Canis lupus familiaris: one gene and its partner. The protein of the gene in region 1 interacts with the protein of each later gene in a pairwise test. Links are inferred from orthologs where the notes say so. Each region holds a gene or a part of one and is shown on either strand. Other genes may lie near its edges. The genes, in order: DCP1A and RITA1.

Region 1 (4,442 bases):
ATGGGGGAGGGGCAGAGGGAGAAAATCTCAAGCAGACTCTCACAATCCTGAGGTCATGACCAGAGCCTAAACTAAGAGTTGGATGCTTAAGCGAGACACCCAGGCACCCCACTTTCCCTTTCTGAAGCTAAAATGTCTTCCTCCGATTTTTAAATTTTAAAGCCAAGCTTCTGTATACTGCAATTCCTTCACTTTTAAAGTTTATCAAAGTTATTAGGGAAGGAAAAAAAAGAAAACATTATATCCTAGGATACTTTGCTTCATCATTGGACGATTTGGGTATATTTTGATGAATAGCAAATTTTGTGGTTTGTTAAGAAATACTGTCGAACACAATTTTTTATTCTTAAACCTTTGTTGAAGAATCATGAAACCTGAAGCTATACTCTGCCTTAAGGTAATTATTATAAAATGTATAACTAAAACATTTTAAGAATAAGAAACATCTTGATTAAAAGTACAACTCATTATCTTTCATTCGCTGTGACAAGTGTATTTAGGTGTTAGACACAATGTTTTTAAAAAAACCCAAATAACTATATTAGTGGCAGTTCACAGCTTAGGTAGAAGTGATGTATTTTAATGCAATCCACAAACTGTTAGAAAACTTTAAATGCTAGTCATATCAAATTGGGTTTGTTGGGATAAAAACATTTAAAAAATATTTAACATGCTGAGAGTATTGCCCTATCATAAACATCATCATAAAAACTTTTCCTTCCTAAGGATTCACAGGCTTTTTCTTGCCTTTCAAATGTTAAATTATTAAAAAAGAAATTGGCAATCTACGGTCTCACAGTGAAAGAAAACTTGCTCAAACAACACTGTGCAAAGTTACAACTCACTGTAAAATAAAAATACAAAAGATTTTGGTTATGCTCTATGGGCCATTAACCAAACGAACAGCTTCTTTTTCAATCCAGATAGATATAATTTGTATTTCATATTTAAAGCAGGACTCTACAATCAGAATTCTACAATTCTGAAAGTCTGTGAAAAACTAGAAATATGAGTGTTAGTCATAAGTTCCTGCCCCCAAGTCTTCATCATTTGTCTGCAATTCACATCTCACAAATTTATATGCAGACCAAATAAAGAAAAATGATTCAGAACAATTCAAACTAAGGCAATGTCTAAAACAGCTACACTAAAAAAAAAAAAAAAAAAAAAAAAGCAAAAAAACTTAAAAATAAGAATAAAAATCTGTAAGTTTGCTCTTTGTGGTTTTCCATACCTCTTCTTCCAGGAGGGGAAAGAAAGAAGATAAGGTAAAAAAGCAAGAGGATCCTGAAAGCTCTCTTCATCTGAGTTAAGTGTTTATAAACGTCAAATGATTTTCATACAATTACTGTTTAAATATAGCCTATGAGTCTGTTTTATACCGTAAAGGGCACATTACGATAATCTTTCAGGGTTTTGTTAGTAGTATTTCATTTTTCACTGAAATGTGAATGTGACTTGTTTATGAAATCAATCCAACAGACGTTGACAGATCATCTGCCAAAAGTAAAGCCTAAAGGAGTAAAGCATGGAGGGTCAATTGCTAGAAAACTGGAAATTATGTTACTTTTATTTTTATTATTATTATTTTTTAAAATAGTTTTTTTTTTTTTTAAAGATTTTGTTCATTTATTCATGAGAGACATAGAGAGAGAGAGGCAGAGACACAGGCAGAGGGAGAAGCAGGCTCCATGCAGGGAGCTCGACGCGGGACTCGATCCCGGGTCACCAGGGTCACGCCCTGACCTGAAGGCGGCGCTAAACCGCTGAGCCACCCGGGCTGCCCCTATTATTATTATTTTTAAATATTTTATTTATTTATTCATGAGAGACAGAGGCAGAGGGAGAAGCAGGCTCCATGCAGGGAGCCCGACAGGGGACTCGATCCTGGGTCACCAGGGTCATGCCCTGGGCTGCAGGCAGATGCTCAACCGCTGAGCCACCCGGGCGTCCCGAAAACTGGAAATCACGTTACTTTTAAACGGGGCCCAACAAGTCAGACAACAGACCCAATGTAACTTTTCGGACCCCCTCCCGTGCAAAAAAAAAAAAAAAAAAAAAAAGGCAAGCAAAGCCAACAATTACTTAGTAGGAAGGGAGCATTCCGAGGCGACCTCACCAGCAGCACAGCTGGAACTAAAACGCATTTACAGGGTCTCTTTTCCAACGGCTTCAAAGAAATGCAATTAACACGGAAGCCCTTTTCCTTAAGTGCCTTGAAATCCCCCCCACCCAAAAAAAAAAAAAAAAAAAAACCTCTGTAAATAGTACAGTTGGATAAAAGCCGGACTTACCCTCACCACCTCTCTTCCAAGAATGGAAACTAATTGGATTCGAAGCTTTATAAACCCAGATGACCTGGGCGAAGGGGGCTCTTATTTACGTGCCCGTCGGGGGGCGGGGGGGGGGGGGAGGACGCGTGTTTACTTTACGGATCACGCACAGGTAGTTTACCCCGGAGCCCGCACGGCCTCAGGCAGCGCCTTTCAGGTGTGTCTCCGACCCCCCGGTTCCCATCCTCCAGCACGTCTGCAAGGGAGGCAGCCCGCCCAGGTCGGACCGGACCGGACCGGACCCCAGCCCTCCCTCCCTCCTCTCGGCTCTTCCTCCCAGACGTCCTGGGCCTGCCTCCCTCGCCCCTCTCCGCACAGCCCCTGGAGGCCCTGGCGGCCCTGACACCCTCCAGCGGCCGGTCGGTCCGTCCCCCGCCCCCCCAACCCCCGCCTCCCCGAATCGCCCCCAACTCCGGAGAGTCCGCGCGGCCCCTTTAAGAGGCGGCGGCCGGGCGGACGACCTCGGAGGCCGCGCCGCACTCACCCACTGGTTGGCCTTGGGGCAGAAGGTGTACAGAGCGACCTGGCCCGTGAGGTCTGCGATGCTGGTGATGTAGGGGTCGTGCTGCTTCAGGGCCGCCAAGCTCATCTCCTGCCCAGCTCTACTCAGCGACTCCATCTTGAATTCCGGAGCCGAGCCCCTCCGGCGGGGGGCGGAGTCGCGGACAGGAAGGTGCCATCGAAGCAAAGTTCCCCCGGCTGCGTCAGCACCTTCCACTTCCGCTTCTTCGCAGGGCCTCGCGGAGGGGCGGTAGGTACGACGGCTATTGTGCTCCGCTACGTCCACAACCCCCGGATGCCGGGTTCCGGGGTTCCTGACGCCCGAGGCTCTTGGGGTGGCGTTGGGGGCAGGCGAGGGCAGGCGAGGGGGAGGGGGCGCAGGTTCTCCCTGCCTTTGGGGTAAAATGTCCTGACAGCGGGATCGGAGGCTGTCCGGGAGCTTTCTCCAGCTCTGGCTGTGTGTGGGCTCCACCATCGTGGGGACAGCATGGAGAAGGGAGGGAGGGGGAGAGGCAGGACCCCAAAAGTCACCCCAGATCGTCCATCTCACTACATCACAGCCGTCAACAATTTGGTGGGGTTTTTTTTCTTTTAATATTTTATTTAAATTCAGTTTGCCAACATATAACACCCAGTGCTCACCCCATCAAGTGCCCTCCTTAGTGCCTGTCACCCAGTCACCCCAATCCCCTCCCCCTTCCCTTTCTACAACCCTTGGTTTGTTTCCCAGAGCCAGGCATCTTTCATGGTTTGTCTTCCTCTCTAAAGCAAGTGCTGGGTGGAGACATCCCTAGCTCAGAGTTGCACACTAGCCAGGGTAATCTGGTAGGGGAATCCAGAGACTCCTTCCTTCCCCCCAGAGTCCTTTCCTCTGTACCATGGCTACCTTCCTTCATCCTTGAGAATGAGTCTCAACTCCCCTCCAGCTACTTTCAATCCAATATTTAAAAATCTGTACCCTAGTTTAAAAAGATTATGCATTTTTTGCATAGGTAATACAAAATTCAGACACACCTGAAACTAAAAAAATTTTTTTTTAAAGTAGACTTTTCTTCTTTTATTTATTTATTTTTTTACTTTTCTTCTTTTAAAAATAATGATTTTATTAAGGTGTAGTTGTCATATAACACTATTAGTTTCAGGTGGACAGTATAGTGACTTGATATTTGCATACATTGCAAATGATGACAGCCACAGCCCAGCGAACATCTATCACCATGCATGGTTACAAGAATTTTTTTTCGTGGTAAGAATCTTCAAGATCTGGGTCTCCTAGCTGCTTTCAAATATGAATTACTATTATTAGCTGTAGTCATCAGGCTGTATGTTACATCCCCAGGACTTATTCTTTTTTTTTTTTTTTTTTTAAGATTTTTATTTATTCATGAGAGACACAGAGAGGGGCAGAGGCACAGGCAGAGGGAGAAGCAGGCTCCGTGCAGGGAGCCCGATGTGGGACTTGATCCTGGGACTCCAGGATCAGGCCTTGGGCTAAAGCCGGCGCTAAACCGCTGAGCCACCCGGGCTGCCCCCCAGGACTTATTCTTTAGTTTTTTTCTTACATAGGTTTACTAAAATCTAAGACATTTCATTTTTATTATTTTTAAC
Region 2 (4,307 bases), on another chromosome or scaffold:
CTTTGAAAAGTCAACTTTTTGCCATTTGATTTAATTGCTCAAACCGTATCTGCTTGTTGCCTATGTCTGCCTGGAGCCAAAGGCTTTACTTAAGAGCATCTCTCTCTCTTACGCATCTTCTCATTTGACACCCTCTACTTGTCAGCATCCTGCATGAAATTCTACCCTCCAGGAGAACATGGAGTTGACGTCCCTTGTCCTGGACACCATACCTCTGTTAGTACACCCCACACTTACATCAGCCTTTTCAGCTACACTATAGTTGTCAGCGGTGCTAATGTTAACCTGGCTCTATGTCAGATGCATGGTGCTCAACCTGACCTAATACTGGAGTCTTGCTTTTACCTCATTGAATTTTATCTCCTAAGATAGGCAGCATTCCCATTTTCACTTCTCTCCACCAACCTATGTTCCTCCTGGCTCAGAATGGACCCTAAATATGATTGGCTAGTTGTTATGGATTGAACTATGTCCTCCCAAAATTCACCCTGAATTTTAGAGAGATAATTAGGCTTAAAGGAGGTCATAAAGGTAGGCTCTATACCAAGAAGAATCGAGTCCTTATAAGAAGAGGGGAGACACCAGGAATATACATGCTCACAGAGAAAAGGCCATGTGAGAACAGGCAAGAAGGTGGCTGTCTGTAAGCCAAAGAGAGGCTTCAGCCTGCCAGGACCTTAAACTTGGACTTTTAGGCTCCAGAACTATGAGATAATGGATTTCTGTCATTTAAGCTCCCCAGCTACTGTATTTTGTTATGATAGCTGTAAATGAATATTCCAGTCTTTTGTGTTTTTGTTCAAATCACTGATAACAATAAACAAGATAGAGCCCCGTGGCCCCCCACTACACACCTCCCTCCAGGCTGGTATCAACCTGAAATTATCCAAATAATCTGATTAATTTACAATCATAACTATTAGCCTAGCTTGTTCATGAAAAGGCCACAAAAACCATTTTTGAAATGACTTACTGAAACTGCGACCCACCCACTGCATCTATGTCATTTCGTGGATCAAGCACCTTAATATTCTTATGCAAATTTCTCTGTGATCTTGGACAAATCACTAGACCCCTCTGGACCTCACTTGTCTGGTCTTGTGGCATTTGGGAAATGGGTATTCAATCATCCTCACTATCACTTACTGAGAACTTCCTAGGTGTCAGATTACTGTGCCAAGCCCTGTACACACTCACTTCATTTACGCTCAGTAGTCCCACTAGGTCCCATTTTCCACATAAGGAAACTGCAGAGAAGTCAAGGTGCTGAGAGTCCAAGGTCACACAGCATGTAAACAGCAGGGCTCTAATAGGAACCCAGGTGGCCTCAGGAGTACAGGGGTGTATCTTCCCATCCTGTTACCTGTATTTGTTCTTCTTCCTTAGTGTGAGGGTCGGGGTGTTGCCCCTGGAGGAGGTGGTCTCACAGCTGCCATTGGCCCCTGAGGCCTGTGATGCCCCTGTGCCCACTCCACTGGTTCTGTTGGCCTTCTCCACCCAGGGTGGGTCGAAGTCTGGTGGTGTGGGCCGGGTACCCGCAGGGCTGCCAAACAATGTCTCATCCACATATGACGGCCTGGCCTTGACCCGGTAGCTGCCCTGGCAATGGTGCTGAAGGCGGAGGGTCTGCATCCCACTGACTGCCAGCTCCACGGGGGTCTTCATGCTGCACATGGTTCTGGGTAAGAGCAGGCATGTTTTGCCTGCGGGGTCTTGCCTCCAGGGCTCCCTGTGAAAGGGGGACAGGGTGACACCACCGTCACTGGCAGTGCCAGCAGAGGAAGGTGGCCCATCTCTTAAGTTCCCAACCCAAGGACAAAAGGGGAGCTGCCAACCCCAGGGGACATTGCAGAAATGGGTTCATCTGTCTCTCAGCTGTCACAACGATAAGGAGAGGGGTGCTACCAGCAAATATTTAATGAATAAATGTGCATTCCTAGTATACAGTGCTCCATGCAGAACGCTAGGGGGAGAAGAAGAGATGAGGCCTGTGTCTATTTTGGCACCAAGGAAAAAACTTAGCCTGGTGGGATGGGGGAGACAGGGCAGGTCCTTCTATCCCGTATATACATTTATGGAGTTAATACAATAACCAGCATTATCTCGTGCCTACCTTGCGCAAAAAGCTTTACAAGCATTATTTCATTTAATCCTCTTAACAGCTCTGCGAAGTAGCTTCGGTTATGTCTAATCTACAGATGACCAGACTGAGGCTTCAGACGCTGAAGTCACACCTGTAAGTCGCACCTAAATAAGGCTAAAACAGTAGAAGAGAAATGTGAACCTGACAGAGGGGTGCAGAGCTTATGCACGTAACCATTCCGCTCCTGGTGGATCACAGACACCCCTCCAACTACCCCATGTTCCCTGCTCCCCAAGTCAAGACCCCGGTTGAGGTCCGAGGCCCCTGCATCGTGAGTTCTTTCCCTTACCTGAGAATCTCGGCTCCAGGATGTGGGCTGCAGTCCCAGCGCCCCCTCCTCTGCAGGGGCCTCCAAGGTCCCAGAGGATCTGCAGCCCGGGCCCCGCAGCCCCAGCCCCGGGGAGCCGCACGGACCGACCCGCGGCGGCAGCCAGGCCCCAGCGACAACCAGCGAGGGGCGGGGCGGCCGGAACCATGAGCACCGGGGGGGGGCGCCCCTGGAGCTCCCGGAAGCCTCGAGGCGGCGCAGGCGGGCCGCAGAGACGCGGCGCCCCCCCGCCCGGCCGCGCCGTTGGTTCGTCCCGCAGGCCCCGCCCCCGCCCCTCGCCCCGCCCCCCTCCCCCTCGCAGCTCCCAGCTCGCGCTCGCCGCTCCCCGCTCCCCGCCCCGGGGCCCGCATGGCGGCCGGCGGGCGCGTGGCGGCCGGACCTCGGTCCCGCGCTCCCATGGCCCAGTGGAGGAAGAAGAAGGGGCTGCGGAGGCGCCGAGGCGCGGCCTCCCAGCCCCGCAGCAGCGACTCGGAGGACGGCGAGTTTGAGATCCAAGCGGACGATGACACCCGGGCCCAGAAGGTGGGAGCGGGCGCCCGGCCCCGCGCATCGCCCAGGGGCTGAGGGTGGGGACCCCGGCAGGGCCGCGGCAGGGCCCCGGCAGGACCCCGGCAGGACCCCGGCAGGGCCCCGGCAGGGCCGCCAGCCCCAGCACGTGTCTCCGCGCCCGCCCCGCCCCGCCCGGCTCCGATCCTGGAGCCCCTGCGTTCCAGCCGCCGGGCCTGCGGGCCTTCCGGGCCGGCCCTGGGTCGCGGCCCCTCATTGGCTGGCTCTTGCCGAGGGGGCGGGCCCAGCGCCCTTTGGTCCAATGAAAAGTGCGGGTGCCGAAGCCCTGACTTCAGGAGTTTGGGGGATTCTTGCCGGGTGCAACTAAGCGGAGGCCGGGCGCAGCGGCTCGAGACGGCCACGCCTCGAATCCCCTGGGTCCCTGGTGGCGAACTAAGCTCGCGTTTGCTGACCGCTTAACCATGTGCCGGGCTTCATGCTGAGAACTAGCCTCGTTTTAATCCTCATACCGCTCTGGGAGCTAAGTGCCACCATCCCTGTGTCCCAGAGGAGGACCCTAAGTCCTGGGAGCTAAGTGCCACCATCCCTGTGTCCCAGAGGAGGACCCTAAGTCCTGGGAGCTAAGTGCCACCATCCCTGTGTCCCAGAGGAGGACCCTAAGTCCTGGGAGCTAAGTGCCACCATCCCTGTGTCCCAGAGGAGGACCCTAGGGTTAGCACCTAGACCAGGACTTCGCAGCTTGTGAGCGAGAGAGCCAGGATGCCGACCTCTGGTTCCAGGGCCTGTGCTACTTCCACACGGGGTGGGGGTGGGGGGCGTGAGCACCAACGGGCAAATAGCTAAAGCCCATTATTTCCCGCAGCCCTGTGCCCAGCAGTGCCTGGCACAGAGTGGGGTTTGGGTATGTGGATGAAAGAGTGGTGTTTATTATTATTTTTTTAAGATTTTATTTATTCAGAGAGACACAGAGAGGCAGAGACGCAGGCAGAGGGAGAAGCAGGCTCCCTGCGGGGAGCCCGATGTGGGACTCGATCCCAGGACCCCGCCCTGAGCCGAAGGCAGATGCTCAATCACTGAGCCACCCAGGTGTCTCCCCCCCACTTTGTCTTAAGGGTAGGTGTTTAGATGAAAAGAGGGAACCACATTCCTCCTGGTCAAGGACCAGATGGAATCGTACCATGTTTACCCACCCAGTGGAGCCAGTGCTTGGCACATAGTAGGTGCTCCATAAAAGTGGAGAAATCGCCACAGCACAGGAGGGCAGAGGTAGTAGGTGCCAAAGAAGAGCCCACAGATATGGTTCAGACGGAGACCTTTGCCCTGGTGCAG

The links.
Region 2: the proteins of DCP1A (region 1) and RITA1 interact in binary tests that used the Homo sapiens proteins (3 or more experiments, as listed by UniProt). The two-hybrid records come from large-scale screens. The link is inferred for Canis lupus familiaris from reciprocal best matches to the Homo sapiens genes DCP1A and RITA1.

Annotation. Positions count from the first base shown.
Region 1 is NC_049241.1:36,887,156-36,891,597, reverse strand, and holds the start of DCP1A (mRNA-decapping enzyme 1A), read right to left. Parts: upstream 3,040-4,442; 5' UTR 2,953-3,039; coding exon 2,818-2,952; intron 1-2,817. UniProt on the Homo sapiens protein: Necessary for the degradation of mRNAs, both in normal mRNA turnover and in nonsense-mediated mRNA decay. Removes the 7-methyl guanine cap structure from mRNA molecules, yielding a 5'-phosphorylated mRNA fragment and 7m-GDP.
Region 2 is NC_049247.1:10,896,822-10,901,128, reverse strand, and holds the start of RITA1 (RBPJ-interacting and tubulin-associated protein 1), read right to left. Parts: upstream 3,070-4,307; 5' UTR 2,994-3,069; coding exon of another isoform or gene 2,820-2,993; exon of another isoform or gene 2,785-2,819; intron 2,611-2,784; exon of another isoform or gene 2,433-2,610; intron 2,258-2,432; exon of another isoform or gene 2,235-2,257; 5' UTR 2,114-2,234; intron 1,730-2,113; 5' UTR 1,675-1,729; coding exon 1,364-1,674; intron 1-1,363. Other genes in the region: ATP-dependent RNA helicase DDX54, read left to right, coding at 2,820-2,993. UniProt on the Homo sapiens protein: Tubulin-binding protein that acts as a negative regulator of Notch signaling pathway.